4 linked regions of the Oryctolagus cuniculus genome follow. The protein of the gene in region 1 interacts with the protein of each later gene in a pairwise test. Links are inferred from orthologs where the notes say so. Each region holds a gene or a part of one and is shown in the gene's direction. Other genes may lie near its edges.

The links.
Region 2: the proteins of CERT1 (region 1) and ACTL8 interact in binary tests that used the Homo sapiens proteins (3 or more experiments, as listed by UniProt). The two-hybrid records come from large-scale screens. The link is inferred for Oryctolagus cuniculus from reciprocal best matches to the Homo sapiens genes CERT1 and ACTL8.
Region 3: the proteins of CERT1 (region 1) and RTN3 interact in binary tests that used the Homo sapiens proteins (3 or more experiments, as listed by UniProt). The link is inferred for Oryctolagus cuniculus from reciprocal best matches to the Homo sapiens genes CERT1 and RTN3.
Region 4: the proteins of CERT1 (region 1) and CSNK1G2 interact in binary tests that used the Homo sapiens proteins (3 or more experiments, as listed by UniProt). The two-hybrid records come from large-scale screens. The link is inferred for Oryctolagus cuniculus from reciprocal best matches to the Homo sapiens genes CERT1 and CSNK1G2.

Annotation. Positions count from the first base shown.
Region 1 is NC_091445.1:574,959-580,254, reverse strand, and holds the start of CERT1 (ceramide transfer protein), read left to right. Parts: upstream 1-2,194; 5' UTR 2,195-2,571; coding exon 2,572-2,667; intron 2,668-2,706; exon of another isoform or gene 2,707-3,062; intron 3,063-3,099; exon of another isoform or gene 3,100-3,236; intron 3,237-5,296. UniProt on the Homo sapiens protein: Shelters ceramides and diacylglycerol lipids inside its START domain and mediates the intracellular trafficking of ceramides and diacylglycerol lipids in a non-vesicular manner.
Region 2 is NC_091438.1:152,535,225-152,539,830, reverse strand, and holds the end of ACTL8 (actin-like protein 8), read left to right. Parts: intron 1-1,344; 5' UTR 1,345-1,389; coding exon 1,390-1,737; intron 1,738-2,587; coding exon 2,588-3,340; 3' UTR 3,341-3,796; downstream 3,797-4,606.
Region 3 is NC_091432.1:7,441,653-7,446,258, reverse strand, and holds part of RTN3 (reticulon-3), read left to right. Parts: intron 1-392; coding exon 393-600; intron 601-3,891; coding exon 3,892-4,030; intron 4,031-4,606. UniProt on the Homo sapiens protein: May be involved in membrane trafficking in the early secretory pathway. Inhibits BACE1 activity and amyloid precursor protein processing. May induce caspase-8 cascade and apoptosis.
Region 4 is NC_091447.1:58,971,308-58,976,699, forward strand, and holds the start of CSNK1G2 (casein kinase I), read left to right. Parts: upstream 1-1,857; 5' UTR 1,858-2,009; coding exon 2,010-2,196; intron 2,197-4,677; coding exon 4,678-4,718; intron 4,719-4,809; coding exon 4,810-5,157; intron 5,158-5,392. UniProt on the Homo sapiens protein: Serine/threonine-protein kinase. Casein kinases are operationally defined by their preferential utilization of acidic proteins such as caseins as substrates. It can phosphorylate a large number of proteins. Participates in Wnt signaling.

The DNA of each region.
Region 1 (5,296 bases):
TGGTTTCTTCATCAAATATATGAGAAATTTAATAGAAAAAAGTTCTCTAGAGTTGATGTTAAATAAGACACCACAGATGTAAATAAGTCAGGCAAATTCAAGATGTTTAAAATATTAGTTAAGAGCACGTTTTCCTGACACACTCTATCTACAGAATACAGTATTCACACAACTCGCACTTTGAGAGGTATTCTGAAGCAGAGAAAAGGATACGTGCAGTCCGTGCAATCAGACCTGGTTTCAAAACCTAATTCCACCGCTTTGTGGCTCCATGACCCTGGATCAGTTACTAAGCCTCCCTTTGTTTTACTTTTTATTATCTGTAAAATGAAACCTACAATGCTTATGGATGACTTACTGAAATTTACTTTTCTTGATTTGACAGGCAGAGAGAGATACAGATACATATCCACTGTTTCAATCCTTAAATGCCTACCATTGTTGAGGCTGGGCTGGAGCGAAGTCCAGGTTCCGGGGAGGCTCCCATGTGGACAGCAGAGACCCATGACTACTTAAGTCATCACATTCCACGACCCCCTCCCCCACCAGGGTGCACATAATCAGGAAGCTGGAATCAGAAGCGGAACCTGGACACAAACCCAGGTCCTCCGACATGAGATTTGGAAGTCCCAACAGCTAGGCCAAATGCCTACCCTCTGTGTATGATCTTTAAGGAATGAGTTCACATATTGAAAGTACCTAGACAACATAAATAGTTAATACCGTAAACATGCCATTTCTTCACAATGTTCTAAAAATAAAATGAAGTTCCTCAAAAACTTGTAATAGTAAACACTAAATAAAATGAGAAGATATGTGGCATTTATCAGAGGTTGGGCAGGGAAGTCCCTAAGCGAGAAAGAAAACTCAACAGCTATCACTCCAAATGAACAAAGAAAGCTCACATATCCCAGTACTACAATTTCTTTCCATTGACAGTAATTAAGTAAACCCCAACCTCTAATGTGGGATTGTAATCATTACACAAAAATCTTTCTGTACCTAAAAACACTTTAGTGTTTAACTACAAAGGAAAAATGTACTAAGAACCTTTTTGTAAAAAGGCACTTTTTCACACTGATACTAAATACGATGAAGCAATTTCCTACCAAGTGGGTAACGTAGTGATCTAACTGCTGGTGGTTCTAACCACACACAACCTTAAAAGGTATAAAACACCACAGAAAGTTCAATTTAAAACGTACGCTCCTGTGAGTCTAAACTGCATTATGAAGTGAATCTCTCAATGATTCGTTTACTTAGTGATATTTTAAAAACCTAGCGCTTGAGAAAACCAGAAATAGCAAGTCTAGCCATACCAGGCCATCTCCAGGCTACGGCAGAGCGAAACGTAACGTGGTGAAGGCGCACTTTCCGCCACCCACCCAAGAGGCGTCAACCGCCAAGTCAATGTCCTCCTTTCTCGCTCTTGAACGACAGCCTCGGGCCCGTGCGTTAGCGCGAGGACCGAGGGATCCAAACGCCCCCTCTCGCAGGCCCTCCGCGCGCCACCGCGACTTCACCACAGCATCGCAGCTGTCAGCCTCTGCCCGGGCAAGACCCACGGCCCGTCCCGCGCGTCCCCACGCGCCTCTCGCCACTACCAGTCGTTCCGGGCCGCGCGCTTCCTCCCTCAGACCCCGAGGCTCTGCCCAGCCCGGCAGTCAGCGAGCGCTCCGCATCTTAATAACGACGCTGACTAGCGGCGACCCTCAGGAAACGGCGAACAGGCGCCGGGGACAGGCGGCTCAACGCACAGCCCTGCGGCGTCGCCCGTTCCCCGACCGCCTCAAAGCAAAACCCAGTCTCCCGCCACGGCCGGCGCGGCCCCGGCCGCCGGAGCCCGCCCGCTCGACCAGCCGGCCCCTCCGCGTCCTCACGGAGGGTCCCCGCCGCCGCGGCCACCTCACCGCAGCCTCGCCCACCCGCCGACCCCGCGTCCCCGCGCCGCCGACTCACCCGCCGTCGCGCCCCGACTACAGCTCCCAGCAGGCCGCGCGCGCCCCGCCCAGAACGCCGCGCGCCGCCGCCCCGCCCCCGCGCTGCACTTCCGGCCCGGCGTCGCCGGCGGGGACCCGGGCCCTGGGCGCCGCGCGTCAGACGCCGGGGAGGGAGCGGGCGGGAGCCGGGAGCCGAGGAGCCGGCGGGGAGGGGCAGGGGAGGGGCGGGAGGGTAAATAGTGCTGGGCAGGAAGATGGCGGCGGCGGCGGCGTGAGGGACCCGCGCTCCGCGGCTGGGCTCGTCCTCCCTGCCGCTCCCGCGCCCTGTCCGAGGTGGCAGCGAGCGGCCGGGTCCGGGCGGCGGCGCCGGGCGCAGCGCAGGGTCACGGCGGCGGCCGAGAAGCGGAAGAGCGGGCTTCCCTCGCCGCTCGTTCGCCTTCCCCGCTCCGCCCGGAGCCAGGCGCGGCGGCCGCGACGCGGCGGGCGGGCTTCCCCGCTGCTGCCGCCCCCCGCGCCGGGGCGTGTGCCCGCCGCCTCGCCGTCCCCAGAGCCCTGTCCGCGGGCGCCGGGCGCCTGCTGCGGCGCAGGCCGGGCCGCCGGGGCCGCTCTCCCGCTCGGCCGTCGCGCCTCCATGTCGGACAACCAGAGCTGGAACTCGTCGGGCTCGGAGGAGGACCCGGAGACCGAGTCCGGGCCGCCGGTGGAGCGCTGCGGGGTCCTGAGCAAGGTGAGCGCGCGCGCGCGGCCGCGCCCCGCCCGGGCTCACCTGCGGCCCGGGGGCGAGGCGCCTCCGCGCCGTGGGCCGGCGGCGCTGCCCGCGCGGCCTCGGGGCCGGGCCTGGGCTGGGTCGGACCCCGCCTCCGGGCCGGCGCGCGGTGAGCCAGGACTGAGGACTTGGGTGCTCGCCCGGCGCAGAGCCCGTGGACGGGCACGTGACGGTGCCGGGACGTTCGCGGCGGCTGGGACCCCGTCGGAGCCGCTCGCCGTGGGTTGTGGGTGGGGAAGGCGTTCGGGACGCGCGCGGCGTGTGCGGTTCCGCGTTCCGCGTGTTCGCCGTGCGCGCAGCCCCGCGGCCTGCTGCGACTTCCCTCGCTGCGACTGTTGAACCTGTGGCAGCGGCTGGGCAGTGGACTTGAGCGGAGGAGAGCCGGCCCCTCACCAGCTGGTCGTGGATTGATGCTGGGTCACGTGCAGAATCGCCCCGCGTGGCTCTGCGAGACGTTGGGACGTCGTCGGTGGAAGTGTTTCCCGTTAGGCCTTGTGACCGCCTTTAGCAGGCTGGAGGGGAAGGGCCTAGGCTGGCAGCAGTGTGCAGGCTGGTGTGCGAGTGGTGACAGCACAGTGGACAGGTGACGGAGTTCAGTACGGGGACGCTCCCTGGGGTCTCTGTGGTCAGATGGTCTTGTCGTGTGGGAGTCTGGAGTGAATCCCAGTGTGCAAGGTGCAGACTTCTGATGGGACTGTCTGCGAAGTGAGTTCTTCGCTTCTCAGTGTCTCCAGTAGTTGCATCACTTCTCTTTAGATAAGCAGCAGACTACCATATCAGTACTGTGGCAGGGTTAAGTATTCTGTGAAACAAACTGTCCTTTTGACCTGTTTGGAGAGAGGTGGAGTGCCGTGGCTGGTGGAAAAAGTCACCAGCACTCCTGCGGAGTAATACAGTGGACATATGAAAATGGGGGGCCGTGACCTCGGCGTGGAAATGCGCAGACCGCTCCTGTGGACGGCAGGTAACTGCCGGTCTGGTTGTTGCTGCGTATGTGGACTCGCAGAATGTAGCTTTTAGTGTTTTTGTTAAGAGCTGTGTGAAGGGAAGTTTGCTGAGATTTAAGTATGGCTCCGTGTAGTGTTTCTGGAAGCTTTTAATCAAGGACATTTTATAGTGATTATGTATACTGATCAGGTGCATGTTTTTACGTATGTATTATGTGTTTAATTCCTTTGTATTTATCTGATATTTTAAACAAGAGTTAACTCAGCATCTGCCCTTTTCCTTGTGTTGAATAATGTAAAGTCCCAATACATTATATTCCTCATCCCCCCAAATGGAGTGGATTTGGAATGGGGTGTGCAAATTGATATCAGAAATATACTAGTGCAAAGAGTTTTTTTTTTCTATATGATGACGTGAATACATGAAAATATCTATACAGCGTATTTCTTACAGATTCATTTAAGAGTTCCAGAAATCTTGGATAGGTGATAATTCCGAATGGTAATCACAGGTAACAGGATGAATGATGATTGGGAAAAGAGTCACACTTCAGTAGGCCCTGGGCCGCTGAAGCTCAGATAAACGAGATCTCAGCTGCTTCTGCACGTTCCGCGCCTGGTGGTCTCCTGGGCCTCAGTTTCTCCACAGTGATTCTGTCATCTCAGATACTACGTGGAGCCTTTGCTCACTTTGTCAGTCTTTCAGATTTCCTTTCTTTGAATTTTCACAGTATTTTATATGTAACTTGGTTCTGATTCTTTGTCAAAATACTGTTTGTTTTTCCTCTTGAATTTGTGCTTGCTGGGCTATTGGTGATAGGAATCTCTGATTCTCCTGCAGTTTGCAACACACTGCTTTGTGTTGGTTAAATGGGGAAGCATGAGGGTAGAGAAAAGGCGAAAACCTGTCTTCCAGATGTGGTAGTAACAGCAATGTTTGCTGGATGCAGTCCTGAGGCTGATGTGATTTGTGGAGTCCTCTAGAAGAAAATTATATGAAATGATGGCTACACAGTTGCAGAAGTCTCTCCTGTCACTTTGAAGAGAGTCTGTTGTAGTGAGAGCTGAAGGTGAGGGTGACTTGGGCATAATGCTGCCAGGCACTGAGACTGTACTGTGTGCTGGGCACTGTTCTAAGCCTGTTCAGATAAGCACGCATCAGGGGAAGGAACATGACCATGTCACACGGTGACTTGCCTTTTGGAAGGGTGCTGATGGGAAAGTGAAATTCATCCATGGAAGGTCTTGAACACCAGTCTGAACGGTTGGTGTGAAGGAAATGGGAACTTGGTACTTATGTTTTGGAGCTGGAGAATCAAGGTTAAGATGTAAGAGAAGTAAGCAAATATGATTGGTCATTAAATAAAATGATGTAACTTATGAATACGGAAAAGGTACTTAGAGGTCAGGCAGTCTAGGAACATGTTCATTGATTGGAATAGTTGAAAGTTCAAAGGAGAAGGCAAATATGAGAGTTGAATATGAAGGAAAGAAGATCAGAATTTGGTGTTGGGATATAGAGATAGAAAAGCAGTAGTGGAACATTATCTTCCATGACTGTGCTGGGCACTTTCATTATTTTATTCAGTTGTTCAGACAACAGACTCAAAAACGGAAGCTCACGAAAGTTAATTTGCCAAACC
Region 2 (4,606 bases), on another chromosome or scaffold:
TTTATATGATAAATTAGCTGCTGGGGCCAGTGCTGTGGCGTAGCAGGTAAAGCCACCACCTGCAGTGCCAGCATCCCATATGGGCGCCGGTTTTAGTGCTGGCTGCTCCACTTTCGATCCAGCTCTCTGCTATGGCCTGGGAAAGCAGTAGAAGATGGCCCAGGTCCTTGGGCCCCTGTACTCACGTGGGAGACCCAGAAGAAGCTCCTGGCTCCTACCTTCAGATCGGTGTAACTCTGGCTGTTGTGGCCATCTGGGGAGCGAGCCAGCAGATGGAAGACCTCTCTCTTTCTCTCTCTTTCTCTGCCTCTCTATAACTGTCTTTCAAATAAATAATATTTAAAAAAATAAGCTGCTTAGTTCATATTCAAAACCTAATTCCTGGGGTGGGCGTCTGGAGTTGTAGGCATGGTACTGTTTGGGGTGCTTGGACCGCCTGGGTCCCATCCCTGCCCCGCTCCTGATCCTGGCTCCTGCCAGTACACCCTGGGCGGCAGCGCTGATGACTCTAGCATGAGTCCCTGCCGCCCGTGCGGGAGACCCGGATGGAGCTCCTGGCTCCTGGCTCCTGGCTCCTGGCTCCTGGCGTTGGCCTGGCCCAGCCCTGCTGTTACAGTCATTTGGGGAGTGAACCGGCAGATGGAAGATCCCCATCTGTCTCTTTGATTTTCAAATAAGTGAAGGTGTAATCCCTACCCCCACCCCCAAGCGACATCTGCCTGCTGTTCAGTGTGTGCCCCTGCCCTGCCCTTGTTGGTTATAAGGGCTGGGAAGGTAATTTAACCCTTGAGCCTCGATCTCCCCATCTGTAAGATGGGTGCAAGGATGGCCCCTGCCCTGTAGGCTGTGGGGGAGACGGGCTGCGTTCCTGTGTTCCTGCTGATGCCCGGCCATTTTTGGCCAGCACAAATGAGTTTCCCACAGCTCGATCTCATATGCAAAATGTCCCTCCCGGAGTGGGGAGAGGGTCTGTGCCCGGCAAAGGCCGCTCCGGCCGTCACCCCGCCTGCTGGTCGCTAGCCGCTGGCCCGCAGCGGTGCCGCCCGCATTCCCGTGCCGTCTAAGCGGGCAGCCAGCAGCTGCCAGGCCCTTCCCGCGCCCTGGATCTCGCTGAGTCTCTAGAGAGACCTTCCCCGCGGCCTCTGCCCTGGGGCAGTGGGAGGAGTGCAGTGGGCAGGTGGCCGCAGCGCGGGATTCCTAGGATGAGTTAGGCACGGGGAGAGCGTGGCAGGCCCGGCACTGCTCGCAACGGCGTGGCAGGGTAATCGGCCAAGCTTCCCAGAGGCCCGGTGGCCGGCGCGGGGGCGGAAGGCCGGCAGGTAACCCGCAGCCTCTCCCCCACAGGTCCCCTCGTTTGCCAAGCATCCTGAGACCCCGCGTGCCTGAGCCATGGCCGGGAAAACCATCGTCATCGACCACGGCTCTGCCTTTCTGAAGGCCGGCCTGTCCGGCTGGAACGAGCCCCAGATGATCCTCCCGAGCGTGGTGAACTACATCCCGTGCCGGGAGAACCCTGGCCCCAGCTACGCCCGGCGGCGCGTGAGCCTGGGCGTCGACCTGTGCCACCCCGACACCTTCAGCTACCCCGTCGAGCGCGGCCGTGTCCTCAACTGGGAGGGCGTCGAGCACATCTGGTCCTTCGTCCTGGAGCGGCACAGGCAGGAGCACGAGGACGCCCCCGTCATCGTCACCGAGACCCCGCTGCAGGAGCCCGCGGACCGGCGCAAGACGCTGGAGGTGGGGCCGCGGGGCGGGGCGGGGCGGGGCTGGCAGGGGTGGGCCTGGGGCTGCGGGGCGGGATGGGGCGGGGCTGGCAGGGGTGGGGCCGCGGGGCGGGGCGGGGCGGGGCTGGCAGGGGTGGGCCTGGGGCTGCGGGGCGGGGTGGGGCGGGGCTGGCAGGGGTGGGCCTGGGGCTGCGGGGCGGGGTGGGGCGGGGCTGGCAGGGGTGGGCCTGGGGCTGCGGGGCGGGGCGGGGCGGGGCTGCAGGGGTGGGGCTAGGGCTGCAGGGCGGGGCGGGGCGGGGCTGGCAGGGGTGGGCCTGGGGCTGTGGGGCGGGGCGGGGCGGGGCGGGGCTGGCAGGGGTGGGCCTGGGGCTGCGGGGCGGGGCGGGGCTGCAGGGGTGGGGCTAGGGCTGCAGGGCGGGGCGGGGCGGGGCTGGCAGGCGTGGGCCTGGGGCCGCGGGGCGGGGCGGGGCAGGGCTGGCAGGCGTGGGCCTGGGGCTGCGGGGCGGGGCGGGGCGGGGCTGCAGGGGTGGGGTTAGGGCTGCAGGGCGGGGTGGGGCGGGGCTGGCAGGGGTGGGGCTGTGGGGCGGGGCGGGGCTGGCAGTTCAGTTTGTCTTGATCTTTGGAGAGGTTCTGCTGAAGAGGATAAGGCTCCCCCTGCCAAGCACTCCCGCCTCCTTGTCATCCCCAGAGCCCCTCCCACATTCCCACACCCGAGCCGCAGAACCCCGTCCCCCGTCCCAGCGTCCCGAGGGACAGCCCAAGAGTCCCCATCCCCGCCCCGCCAGGATGTCAGCTTCCAGGGCGGGCGCGGGGCCCTGGGTTTGGGGGCGACCCACTGAGTGTCCCCCGCCTCCGGGCTGCAGGTCATGTTTGAGCTGCTCGATGTCCCGGCCCTGCTGCTGGCCAACCAGATGGAGATGTCGCTGTACGCCTCGGGGCTGCTCACCGGCACCGTGCTGGACTCCGGCTATGGCCTGACCCGCGTGCAGCCCTTCCACCTGGGCCGCACCTCCCCCTCCAGCTGCAAGACCCTGGAGTTCGCCGGCCAGGACCTCGCTGCCTACCTCCGCAAGAGCATCTTCAAGGAGCACTCCGACCCGCACAACCTCTTCCAGCTGGATACGGTGACCGGCACGCAGATGGGCAAGTGCTACGTGCCGCAGAACCTGGGCGAGGCGCTGGACTTCTGCCAGAGCCTGCCGAGCGGCGCGGACGAGAGCAACACCTACCTGCTGCCCGACGGCACGTCCGCCGAGCTGACGCCTATGCAGCGCCTGGCGCCCGAGATGTTCTTCAGCCCGCAGGTGTTCGACCTGCCGGGGCCCAGCGTGCCGGAGATGGTGGTGGAGTCCATCAAGACGTGCGAGGCCTCCACGCACGAGCAGCTCATCTCGCACGTCATGGCCTGCGGCGGGAACACGCTGTACCCCGGCTTCACCAAGCGCCTGCAGAAGGAGCTGTCGGCCGAGCACTTCGCCTCCGCCAAGGCCACGCTCTGGGTGGGCAGCAACAGGAATTTCAGCGTCTGGCTCGGGGCGTCGCTCATGGCCCACCTGTCCACGTACAAGTCGGAGTGGATGACCAGGGAGGAGTATGACGAGGGGGCCCGGGTGTGAGCCGGTGGCCTCTCCAGGGGCCTGGGGACGAGGTGGGCAGGGGGCAGGGGTGGGGCGGGGTTAGAGTTAGCTGGCTTTGGATGTTTCTTGACTCTGAGTTTTTATCTTGTTGGCAGAGTGGGCTCCAGGCCGAGGGAGGATGGGGCGCCAGCCCTGGACCCCGTGCAGGGAAAGCCTCGTCCAGCTGCTCCGTTATGGGGGTGGGCGTGGCCGTCGGCCGGCCTCCCCCGTGCCTAGAAGCCACCCTGTGTTCGCCGGCGCCTTCCTGGGGTCATCCCACTGGGCTCGGTTGGTTAGGTTTTAAGTGGGCCGAGAGCGAATAGTAACTGATCAGCTTTGATAGGGGAGGGGGGGAGTTGAGTGTTCTAGTCTTTCAGGCTGTGTGGTCCGGGTCCTCTCTGAGGGGTGCCTTTCCCGCCTGGGGCCTTGTTTTATATACACAAATAAACATCTGGTTTGGAACCCGTGCTGGCTTCTGTGATGGATGGGGGGCGGGGATGGGGGCGCCACAGGGCTGGTGTGAGCCTGCGGGGGCCAGGCTGAGGGGGTCCGGGAGCAGGGCAGATCCGGGCCGGCAGCCTCAGGTCCCTCCACTGGCGCGTCCTGTCGCTCCTCCAGCGCTCCGCGTCAGGTCCCGGGCACTGGGGACGTGGCGGTGAGAGGGTCAGCGAGGTTTCTGGTTTCGAGAGGACCGGCTGTGGCAGGGACACCGATGGTAAGCACACAGCTAGGCTGGCCCTCAGTTGCCTCCAGGGTCCCCCGTGCACGCCAGGCTCCGTGGATGCTCCAGTTCCCTTGGTGACACGGCCCAGCCTCGGCACAGAACCTGTGCCCATCCTCCCGGGGACTGTCAACCATGCCGTGCAGGCCCCCTATTGGCCAGGGAGGAGGGGCCGGAAAAAAGTCTGCATGTGGGCAGGGACAGAGACCACCAGGGCCGCCAGGGCCTGTGCCCTGCCCCCCGCCCCCCACAGCCCAGTGTGAGGCCCTGGCTCCTAGACGGGGCCACGTGACGAGGTCCTGGCTCAGTTCCGTGTGCCCAGGACCCTTCACCGTTGGCTCACGGGAGGCAGAAGGTCGGGCAGAGGCTGGGAAGCCGGAGAGGGGTGGAGGAGCTGGACGGGGGTGGAGCAGGGATTTGAACCCGGGTCCGCCTGTACTAAAGCCCGTGTTGTTACTCCTGGCGCCAGGCTGCCCTCCCAGCTTCCCAGGCCCCGTTGGACCCTTCAGCCTGGGAAATGCAGCGGGGCGAATTGCCGAGGTTTG
Region 3 (4,606 bases), on another chromosome or scaffold:
AATTCAACTTCCTGACGTAATTGTTAATAGTGCCCTCACTTTCAGAAGCATTATGGTTTAGATAATTGTATGATTTCCTACCCATCATCCTTCCTGGCTTCTCCTCAGACTAACACGGAAACTGATGTTTCGCTGTAACTGATGCTGATAGAGGCTGGTCTGTTTTCCTTCACTTCCCAGTTGCCTGCAACAGCCAGGACTAGGCCAGACTGAGGCCAGGGGCTGGGAACTCCAGCTGGGTAGCCCACATCCCAGTTTGCGCATTTTAATTTAGCTTTGATAAGTGAGATATGCCTGGATCTGTGCCCCAGGTGCTCCCGGAGCTGGGGAGCAGTCCTGGCCTGGTGGCTGGCAGCTGTTCTTATAACCTCCTTTCCTTTTTCCTTTGGCAGTGCACGATCTGATTTTCTGGCGAGACGTGAAGAAGACTGGCTTTGTCTTTGGCACCACGCTGATCATGCTGCTCTCCCTGGCAGCCTTCAGCGTTATCAGTGTGGTTTCTTACCTCATCCTGGCTCTTCTGTCTGTCACCATCAGCTTCAGGGTCTACAAGTCTGTCATCCAAGCTGTGCAGAAGTCAGAAGAAGGCCATCCGTTCAAGTGAGTTGGAGTATCTCGAGTGACACTGCATGTTGTAGCAGAGGGGTTTGCTGAGGCTGATTAGGTCCAAAACTTGACCTAGCTACACATGAAGAATTACTGGGTCCAGTACAGCTGAGCAGGGGTGTGAACCCCCAGTTAGAGACCTTGAGGTCTTCTTAGAAGCAGCTGAATTAGGAAGTAAGAACTTTTTGACAAACTAGAGACTCACATGTCGAGTCCAAAAAGGACTTGACATTTCTGGGCAGGGTAGGGAAAGCAGAGCGCCAGGGACAGCACTCAGATGGCGTCCCAGGCACGTGGGGATGCCCCAGATAGGTAAGTCTTGAAGCGACTTTGAAATCTTGCTGTTGAGGCCTTGCTCTTAGTGGTACCGGAACCCAGGCTGGTTACTCCTGGTCTTCCTCCTCATTTTCTCCTTAGCGCTTTACTTTGCTTGATACCACAGGCAGGTCGGCGGGTCCCGCACGTCTAAGACGTGATTCTAGCTTCTCTGGGTGTGCTCTCACTTTCACATTACGTGTTTTTCATGCTTTTCCTCTGCAGAATGTTGGGCCACAGAAAATGTTTACATTATAGTAGCAGCTGATGGAGTTTTTTTTAATGCTTTTATTTTAATTTTTAATTGTTTTTTAACACACAATATTTGTAGATAACAACTCTAAGAACATAATTATATTCCCTTCCTCTCTCCTTCTTATCCTTTTTTTAATTTAGTTTTTGAGGTAACATTTTAAATTTATGTTACAGTGAAAAGGTTTATTACTTCACCAAATAAGAGATTTAACAAGTAAAAAACAAAAAGACCTTAGTTTAGTGGGAACATAGATAATGGCTATAAATAATAATTGAATGGAAAAATGACCATGTCACCCATATACAGTAAATTTTAAAGTAATCACAGATCATTAAAACTATAGTAGTATAATATTCTTAACCATTGGTTTGACAAAGGTATAAAACAGGGTTTTACAAAACTATATTTGCAGCAATACTGGATCACACAGACATTTCTTTGTTTTGTTTTGTTTTGTTTTTGTTTGTTTGTTTTTAAGTTTTAGCTCCCACACATAGGGGAGAACATGCAGTATTTGTCTTTCTGGGTCCAGCTTACATCACTCAACATAATGTTCTCCAGTTGCATCCATTTTGCTGCAAATGGTAGAATTTCAGTCTTTTTATGGCTGAATAGTATTCCATTGTGTATATAAACCACACTTTCCTTATCCATTCATCTGATGGTGGACGCCTTGTTGGTTCCAAATCTCAGCTATTGGGATCAGTGCTGCTATAAACACTGTAGTTCAAGTATCTCTTGATACATTGTGTTCAAGTCTTCTGGGTATATACACAGGAGTGGGATTCCTGGATCATACGGCAAGTCTGTTCCTAGTTTTTCAAGAAATCTCCACACTGTTTTCCACAGTGGCTGTCCTAATTTACATTCCCACCAATGGTGAATAAGTGTTTCCCTTTGTGTCCTTGCCAGCATTTGTTACTTTCTGGATTTTAGCCATTCTGACCGGGGTGAGGTGATACCTCATTGTGGTTTTGATTTGCATTTGTCTGATGGCTACTGATTTTGATCATTTTTTCATATATTTGTTGGTCATTTATTTGTGAACCACCTATCCAACAAAAGATTAATATCCTGCATACATCAGCAACTTAAAAAACTCCACAACAAAAAGCAACCAGTCCAGTTGACAGTTTTTTAAAAGGCTTTTTCACAGAGAAGGAACCCCTCCTGTGACCTCTGAGGACTACAGCCGAACAGGTTTCTGGCTGCTGCTCTGGCCCTTGTATTTTCTCTTGGTGAAAATAAACATAAACCATATATGTGACATTGCAAAATAGAGCACCTAAAAGGTCATCTATAGAAGTGAAATTGACACTGCAAGATGGGATGACTTTGAACAGCCCTTGCCTCGACTGTTCAGGAACAAGGTTTTATTTTTTCATACAATTTGTTGCACTCTTTACTTAGTGTATAGTTGATCTTATGTGTATAAAGTTAATTGAAAATGGATCTTAGTAAAAAATAAGAATAGGAACAGGAGAGGGAGGAGGGAGAAGGGTGGGAGTGGGTACGGTGGGAAGAATCACTGTGTTCCTGAAGTTGTATTTATGAAATGCGTGAAGTTTGGACGTGAAGTTTGGATACCTTAAATCAAAGGTTTCTGGGAGGAAAGAAAGAACATGTATTGCCAATTAGTTTTAACAAATCAGTAGTTATCAAATGAATGAGCAAATAAATTATAGTGTTTTTCAGCAAGCGCAGGTATCTTAATCCCCCCCTCCCCCCCGCTTTTGCATGACACTGGAGGCTTAACCACGTTTGTCTACTCAGTTGTAGTAACTACAACCTCTGGTTTTTAAAACTCTTTGGTTGGTAGTAAATATTCTCTTGATCGGAAGGGAAGTATGTCTGTCACTATTCTGTTTCCCCACAAGACTGTGAGCCTCTTAAGGCAAAAACAGTCTTCACCTGTTTGACATCCCAGCACCGAGCAGTCTCTGCCAGGCAGCAGGCACCCAGTACACGCTGAGTGTATGGGCAGGTCAGCAGCGCATGGGACCTCTGGGACAGAACTGGGGCCTCGGGTTTGGTGTGGTTTTCAGAACCTGTCAGACCCCACATCTCCACCCTCCTGGTTTGTCAACAAATGTTGTTCTGCCTCCTTATCATATAGAACTGTATGAAATGAAGTTCATATAGAAATTAAATTCATAAGTAGTGTAATCTATCTACATTTTAAATAAATAGGTCAATTATAACAGAAAGATGTGATAACAGAAAGCATTTGTAAGGTGTTTCAGTCAGTATTCAATTACTTGGACATGACAATACCAAAAATATATAATGAATAAGTCATAAACTTGTACCTGCATGTATAATCACCAATAAGATGTAATTTTCCAAAACAGTAAAAAACTTTATTTTAAAAAAATTTAATGTAAGTTTTATCATAGAAATATTTTTAGAAAATTCAGGATGTGTTGTAAATATGGAGAAAATGACTGTATGTGTTCTGGGTTCTGAGCTGTAAGTCAGTTCACCTTCCTGAGGCGGCAGCTGTGCCACAGAGTGCAGGGCAGCTGGTTGCCGTCGTGCCTGTCCTGTCCCATGCAGACGTCCGCCCTCCTTTCCTCCTAACCGACAGTAGCGTTTCCTTCCCACGGCAGCCAGAAATGTCCCTTCAGGTCTGGAAAGCACTGCCTAGGGCTGCTGTGCTGACAGAAAATCTTTTTCCGTGTCAAACGTGTGACTGTTGTTTCTTCCTTGGGAAGAGCCTACCTGGATGTGGACATCACCCTGTCCTCAGAAGCCTTCCACAATTACATGAATGCCGCCATGGTGCACATCAACAGGGCTCTGAAACTCATCATTCGTCTCTTCCTGGTGGAAGATCTGGTTGACTCCTTGAAGGTCAGTCACATGTGCAGGTTCTGGTGGTATTGCTGAGAAAACTCGGTAGGTTTCCTGCCCCCCATGCAGGGTTATGGCCAACCCCTCTATAATAAAAGGTCAACAAGACAGAAGCATGACAGATGCATTTGATTATAGTTTTTCGTGACATGGGAGCCTTCAGAATGAAGACTGAGAGACCCAGGATGGTTTCTCCATCCTTATGCTTGTGTTCACTGAAGCTGGGACAGCTATGTTGAGTAAAGAGATTGGACCAAAAAAGGCCTATTAAACAAAGGTCAGAAGGTTTTTAAAAAATAACCAATTTATTTGAAAGTCAGAAAGAGCTCTTCCATCTTCCATCCACTGGTTTATTCCCCAAATGCCCAGAGCTGGATTAAGCAGGCCAAATTCGGGAGCTGGAAACCCTGTCCAGGTCCTTGGGTGTAGCAGGGCCCAAAGTCCTTGAGCTATCACCTGCTGACTCCTAGAGTGTGTATTAACAGGAAGTTGGAATCAGAAGCAGAGCTAGGGCTGGCATTGTGGCATAGTGGATAAAGCAGCTGGTTCAAGTCTCGGCTGCTCCACTTCCATCCA
Region 4 (5,392 bases), on another chromosome or scaffold:
GGCCTGGGTGTGTGAGGGCCTGCCCTGGGTGTGCGAAGGCCTGCCCTGGGTGTGGGAGGTCTGGCCTGCGTGTGGAGGCCCTGGCCTGGGTGTGCGAGGCCTGGCCTGGGTGTGCGAGGCCCTGCCCTGGGTGTGCGAGGCCCTGGCCTGCGTGTGCGAGGCCTGGGCTGCGTGTGGAGGCCCTGCCTGGGTGTGCGAGGCCTGGGCTGCGTGTGGAGGCCCTGCCTGGGTGTGCGAGGTCTGCCCTGCGTGTGTGAGGGAGGTCTGCCCTGGGTGTGGAGGCCCTGTCCTGGGTGTGCGAGGTCTGGCCTGCGTGTGTGAGGGAGGTCTGCCCTGGGTGTGCGAGGTCTGGCCTGTGTGTGGAGGCCCTGCCCTGGGTGTGCGAGGCCCTGCCCTGGGTGTGGAGGCCCTGCCCTGGGTGTGCGAGGCCCTGCCCTGGGTGTGCGAGGCCTGGTCTGGGTGTGCACCTCTAGGCCGTGGCTGTAGGTGCTGGCTCTCGGGGATGGCCCCAGGCTGGCTGTCCGCACACTTGCTGAGTGTGGGACCCGGGCAGCGCCACCTGGGAGGTCTCCCAGATGGTGGGCAGGTGGGGGCTGGGCGTCCTCCGGAGAGGGAGGCACTGGGGGCCCAGCCCAGTCAGCCCTGCTGGGTACGGCCCCAGGACACGGCAGGGCCCGGGAGACGGGGAGGGCGGTGGCCGGCTGGACACATGGTGGAGGCTGGGGGGGGTTGTGGGGGGGGCGCGTTGGCCTGGGGCTGCTGCCTGCAGCTCGTCCCGCCTCCCGCAGACGCCGTGGGTGGACCCCAGGGCTGGGGGCAGCTGGGGGTGGAGTGGACGCTTTGCTGACCTGCACGTGGGGGCCCTGGCGTGTCTCCCCGCGCTGGGGCGGCTCCTCCGTCAGGCGAGGGGAGGCGGGACCCAGGAGTCTGCTGTCTGGGGGCCCTGGGCAGTGGGGCAGCTGGGTTGCCGCGGCCCCCGGCCGGCTCTGCTGGCCCAGCAGGGTGGGCCGAGTGGCCGTGGGGGTGGGGCCGTGGTAGACCCTGGCGGCTGGGGAAGCCCACGCAGACAGGTGCGCACTGGCGGATGGCGGATGGGGGCGCCTTCCCTGCCTCCCCCGGACCGGTCTCTGCTCAGTGCCACGCCCAGCGCTCCCGAAGCCCCAGCTGGGGGCCGGCTGGGGGGCGGAGCAGCTGGGGCCGGCTGGGGGGCGGGGGTCCTCGTCCTGCGGGGGTCCTCGTGCCGGGGAGGGGGGTCCTCGTCCCGGGGATCCTTCGCCTTCTCGCTGGCCAGGCTGGTGCCTCCCGGGCTGATTCTGACGGTGGGGACGGGGGCGGAGCAGGAGAGGCTGGATGGGGGGGCACGGCCCGAGGCGGGAGCAGGGGCGGGACGGCCGGGCGGGAGCAGGGGCGCGGCTCCCGGCGGCTCTGCACAGGGCCCGTGCGCACTGCTCTGCCAAAGGCCAGTGGTGGGTGCAGCCTGCGCCGGGCTTCCCACCTGTGGGGTTTCCCGGCCGAGGACACGGACAGTGGCCGGGTTCAGGAGGGGGGCCGAGGGTGGGGTCCCGGCCGTCCCAGGCCCTGCGCTGAGTGCCGGACCCCTCCCCTCTGGCTGTGCCCCACCGTCCCTCCTAGACTCGCCCGCTGCCCTCAGCCCCACGACCCCCAGTGGCTGCTGGGAAAACCGCCCGGCCAGGGCACCCCTGCGGCTCGGTGCCCGGCTGCCCCGCCCCTCCCCGGTCAGGTGGCCGCGGGCCCTGGGTTTACCCTGTGCCTGTCTCTCCGCAGCTGGGGGCCACGAGATCTGAGGTGCCGGGACCGCCAGCAGCATGTCTCCTGTGCCCGAGAGCCACCCTGAGACCACCGAGATGCGCGCCACGGCCGGGCCCGCGAGGGTGCGCGTGCCCGCCGGCGCGGGGCTGTGGTAGCCGCCGCGAGCCCGCGCCTCAGCCGTCCGCAGCCTTGGCGTTGGTGTGGCAGTCACCGTGGAGAGGCCAGGGTACCACAAACTTATGGATTTGGACAAGAAAGGAGGGAGAGGGGAGTTGGAAGAGGGCCGGAGGATGTCCAGGAGCGGCGGGGCCCGGAGCAGCCACAGCGCGCGCACCTCGGGGGCCAGCTCGGGGGTCCTGATGGTGGGCCCCAACTTCCGAGTCGGCAAGAAGATAGGCTGTGGCAACTTCGGGGAGCTTCGCCTAGGTGAGCCCCGCGCGGCGGCCGGCGGGGACCGGGGCGCGGGCGGGACTTGGAGTGCGCCCCGGGGGGCGGGGGGCGGGGGGCAGGGGCAGAGGCCTGCCCTGGTCAGCTCCGGCGGTGTCCGGTGTGAGTTCTGGCGCTCCCTGCCTCCCTCCCGCCTGCCCCACCTGAACAGGGCGTGCGGTTGAAGCCTGGTGGGCTGCCTGGCAGGTGCGGGTGAGCGGGCTGGCGTGGGCCTGGGGGAGCTCCCGGGGTGGCCGGCGTCCTGGCCAGGAGTGCGCGGCCCCGCGAGCAGGCTCTCAGCTCGGGCCGGCAGGTGTCCCGTGGGTGCCGGCGCTGCCCGCGGCCCCTCCCGAGCCCCTCCTGGCGCAGCGTCTCCCGTCCCCGTCCTCCACATTGTGCCCTTGGTTTCAGAGTGTGCGGGGTTTAGGCACGGTCTGCTTTTAATTAAAATTCCAGATGTTTGAGATGTATTTATTGAAAGGCAGAACGATAGAGAAAAATCTTCATCACTGGTCCCCTCCCCAAACGGACCGCGGCGGCCAGGACTGGGCCGGAGCCGGCACGCGGCGACGGCCGCCCCGCGGTGTGGCTTTAGGGTCATGGCTTCCTTCCGGTTCGCTCCCCGGGTGAGCCCAGCGGCCAGCCCGGGAGCCACCGCGTGGCCACCTGTCCAGGTGCGTGGGCTGCAGCTGGGCCCAGGCGATGCGCGCGTGCTGCCCCGGGGCCGCTGACCGCCCCCGGGACCCGCTCAGCCGCCGCGACGGGGCAGTCGCTGCACTCCAGGCCGTCTCGCACTCGGACGTTGGGCGGGGCTTCAGTTAAGGCTGCCTGTGTCCGTCTGTCCGTCCGTCTGTATGCATGTCTGTATGTATGCGTGTCTATGTATGTGTGCATGTCTGTGTGTCTGTATGTCTATATGTATGTCCGTCTGTATGTATGTATCTATGTATGTCTATGTGTGTCCGTCCGTCTGTACGCATGTCTGTCTGTATGCATGTCTATGTGTGCATGTTTCTGTATGTATGTCCGTCTCTGTCTGTCTGTCTGTCTCTATGTCTGTCTGTATGCGTCGGAAGGCAGCGAGGGAGAGAGGCTTAAGTCCTGAGCGAGTTTGAAGTGATGGCTCCTTCCAGTCCACACCCGGGGTCCCGGCTCGTTTACCTGGAGGGAGCTGGGAGCCCCGGGGCGGGGCTGGCTTGAGCCGGAGCAGGCTGGGAACACGCCAGCCTGAATTCTAGCTTTTTTGCACCAAAGTAAACTTCCCCTTTGACTCCGGCTTCCCTGGAGCCCCCCGCGCTCCCCGTCTCGCCGCGGGGTGGCTCCCGCACAGCCCCAGCGTGAACCCCGTGGCTCAGGGCGGTCTCCAGCCCCGCGGCCGGCTCCGGGGCTCTCAGCCCTCGCAGTGTCCCCACGAGGCCCCGCCGCCCCTCTCGCCCACGGGGCCTGCGTGAGGCCGGGAGCCCAGAGCCGAGCTCCTGCCGGGCTGCCCCGCGGAGACGGGCGACGCTGTGGCCAAATGCAGGACCGGCGGGCAGAGAGGCGCAGCCGGGTCACGGGGGGCGCGCCAGCCGCAGGCCGGGGTCGCTGGCAGCCGTCCATAGGGACGCGTCAACGCCTGGACAAGGCTTGGGGCGAGGCCGCGGCCCAGCACGCGCGGAGGCGCCCGGGCGTCCCGGCGGCCGCAGGTGCACTGCCCCAGGCTCACCGCCAGCCCTGTAGACCTTCGGGTCCCACCGCGCGCCCTGCGCATGCGCAGCCCCGGGGCAGCCGCGAAGGCCCAGGCGCTGGGGCCCCTGGCACCCACACGGGAGACCCGACGGGGCCCACACGGGACTTCGGCCTGGCCCAGCCCTGCCTGTCGCAGGCATTTGGGGAGCAAACCAGCGCTGGCAGCGCTCTGCCTCTCGGGGCACGCAGAGCCTGGGTGTCCCCGGGGCTGAGGTCCTGTGCGCGCGCCTTGTGCGGCCTGGAGCGGGAGGAAGCCGGGGCAGGCCCGCGGGGACGGTCACAGCCCGAGCCGAAGCCGGGCGAGCTGTGCGTGGCCCTGGAGAGCGGGGCCCCGCGGGCCAGCGCAGCCAGCACCTCTGGGACCGGAGCCCCGCGCCGTGCGCTGTGATGGGAGGTGGCCTCGGGGGGCCCACGGGAGCTGGGTCGGCGTCGCCATGGCGCGAAGCCGCGTGAAGACGCACAGGCTCTTACGCACCAGGGCTGGGCGGCCTGGGCCTCGGGGCGCCCGGGGCGGGCGGGGGGCGCGCCCTTGCCTCCCGCCTGTTGGGCAGGCACTGGAGCGAGGCTGCCCCGCCGAGGCTCTGCCCTGTCCCCGCCCGGCTGTGCTGGCCAAGCCGGGGCTGCGCCGGCCGGGGCAGGTGTGCACGGCTGTCCTGTCGGGCCTCCGACCCAGGGCGGGGTCGCTGGTGGCTCCCGCCGGTCCGCCTGGGGCCGGGCCGGGCCTGCCGCCCTGACCGCGCCTCTGTCCCGCAGGGAAGAATCTGTACACGAACGAGTACGTGGCCATCAAACTGGTGAGTGCGCCCCCCCCCCCCCCCCGTTCACTACAAGCGTCAGGCCTGGGCCCGGCCGCTGCCTCACGGCGCCCGCCCCGCCCCTCCCCAGGAGCCCATCAAGTCCCGGGCGCCGCAGCTGCACCTGGAGTACCGCTTCTACAAGCAGCTGAGCACGGCAGGTAGGCGGGCGGGGCGGGGCGGGCCGGGGGCGGGGCTGGGGGCGTGGCCGGGGGCGGGGCCGGGGGCTGGGGGCGTGGCCGGGCCGGGCCGGCCGCAGGCACCGCCCGCCACGCCGCGCTTGCCCGCAGAGGGTGTCCCGCAGGTGTACTACTTCGGCCCGTGCGGCAAGTACAACGCCATGGTGCTGGAGCTGCTGGGGCCCAGCCTGGAGGACCTGTTCGACCTGTGCGACCGCACCTTCACGCTCAAGACCGTGCTCATGATCGCCATCCAGCTGGTGCGGGGGGCGGGGCGGGGCGGGGCCTGCGCATGGCCCGGGGCTGGGGAGGGCGGGGCCATGGGGGCGGGGCCTGCGCTTGGCCCGGGGCTGGGGAGGGCGGGGCCATGGGGGCGGGGCCTGCGCTTGGCCCGGGGCTGGGGAGGGCGGGGCCGTGGGGGCGGGGCCGTGGGCTTGGCCCGGGGCTGGGGAGGGCGGGGCCATGGGGGCGGGGCCGTGGGCTTGGCCCGGGGCT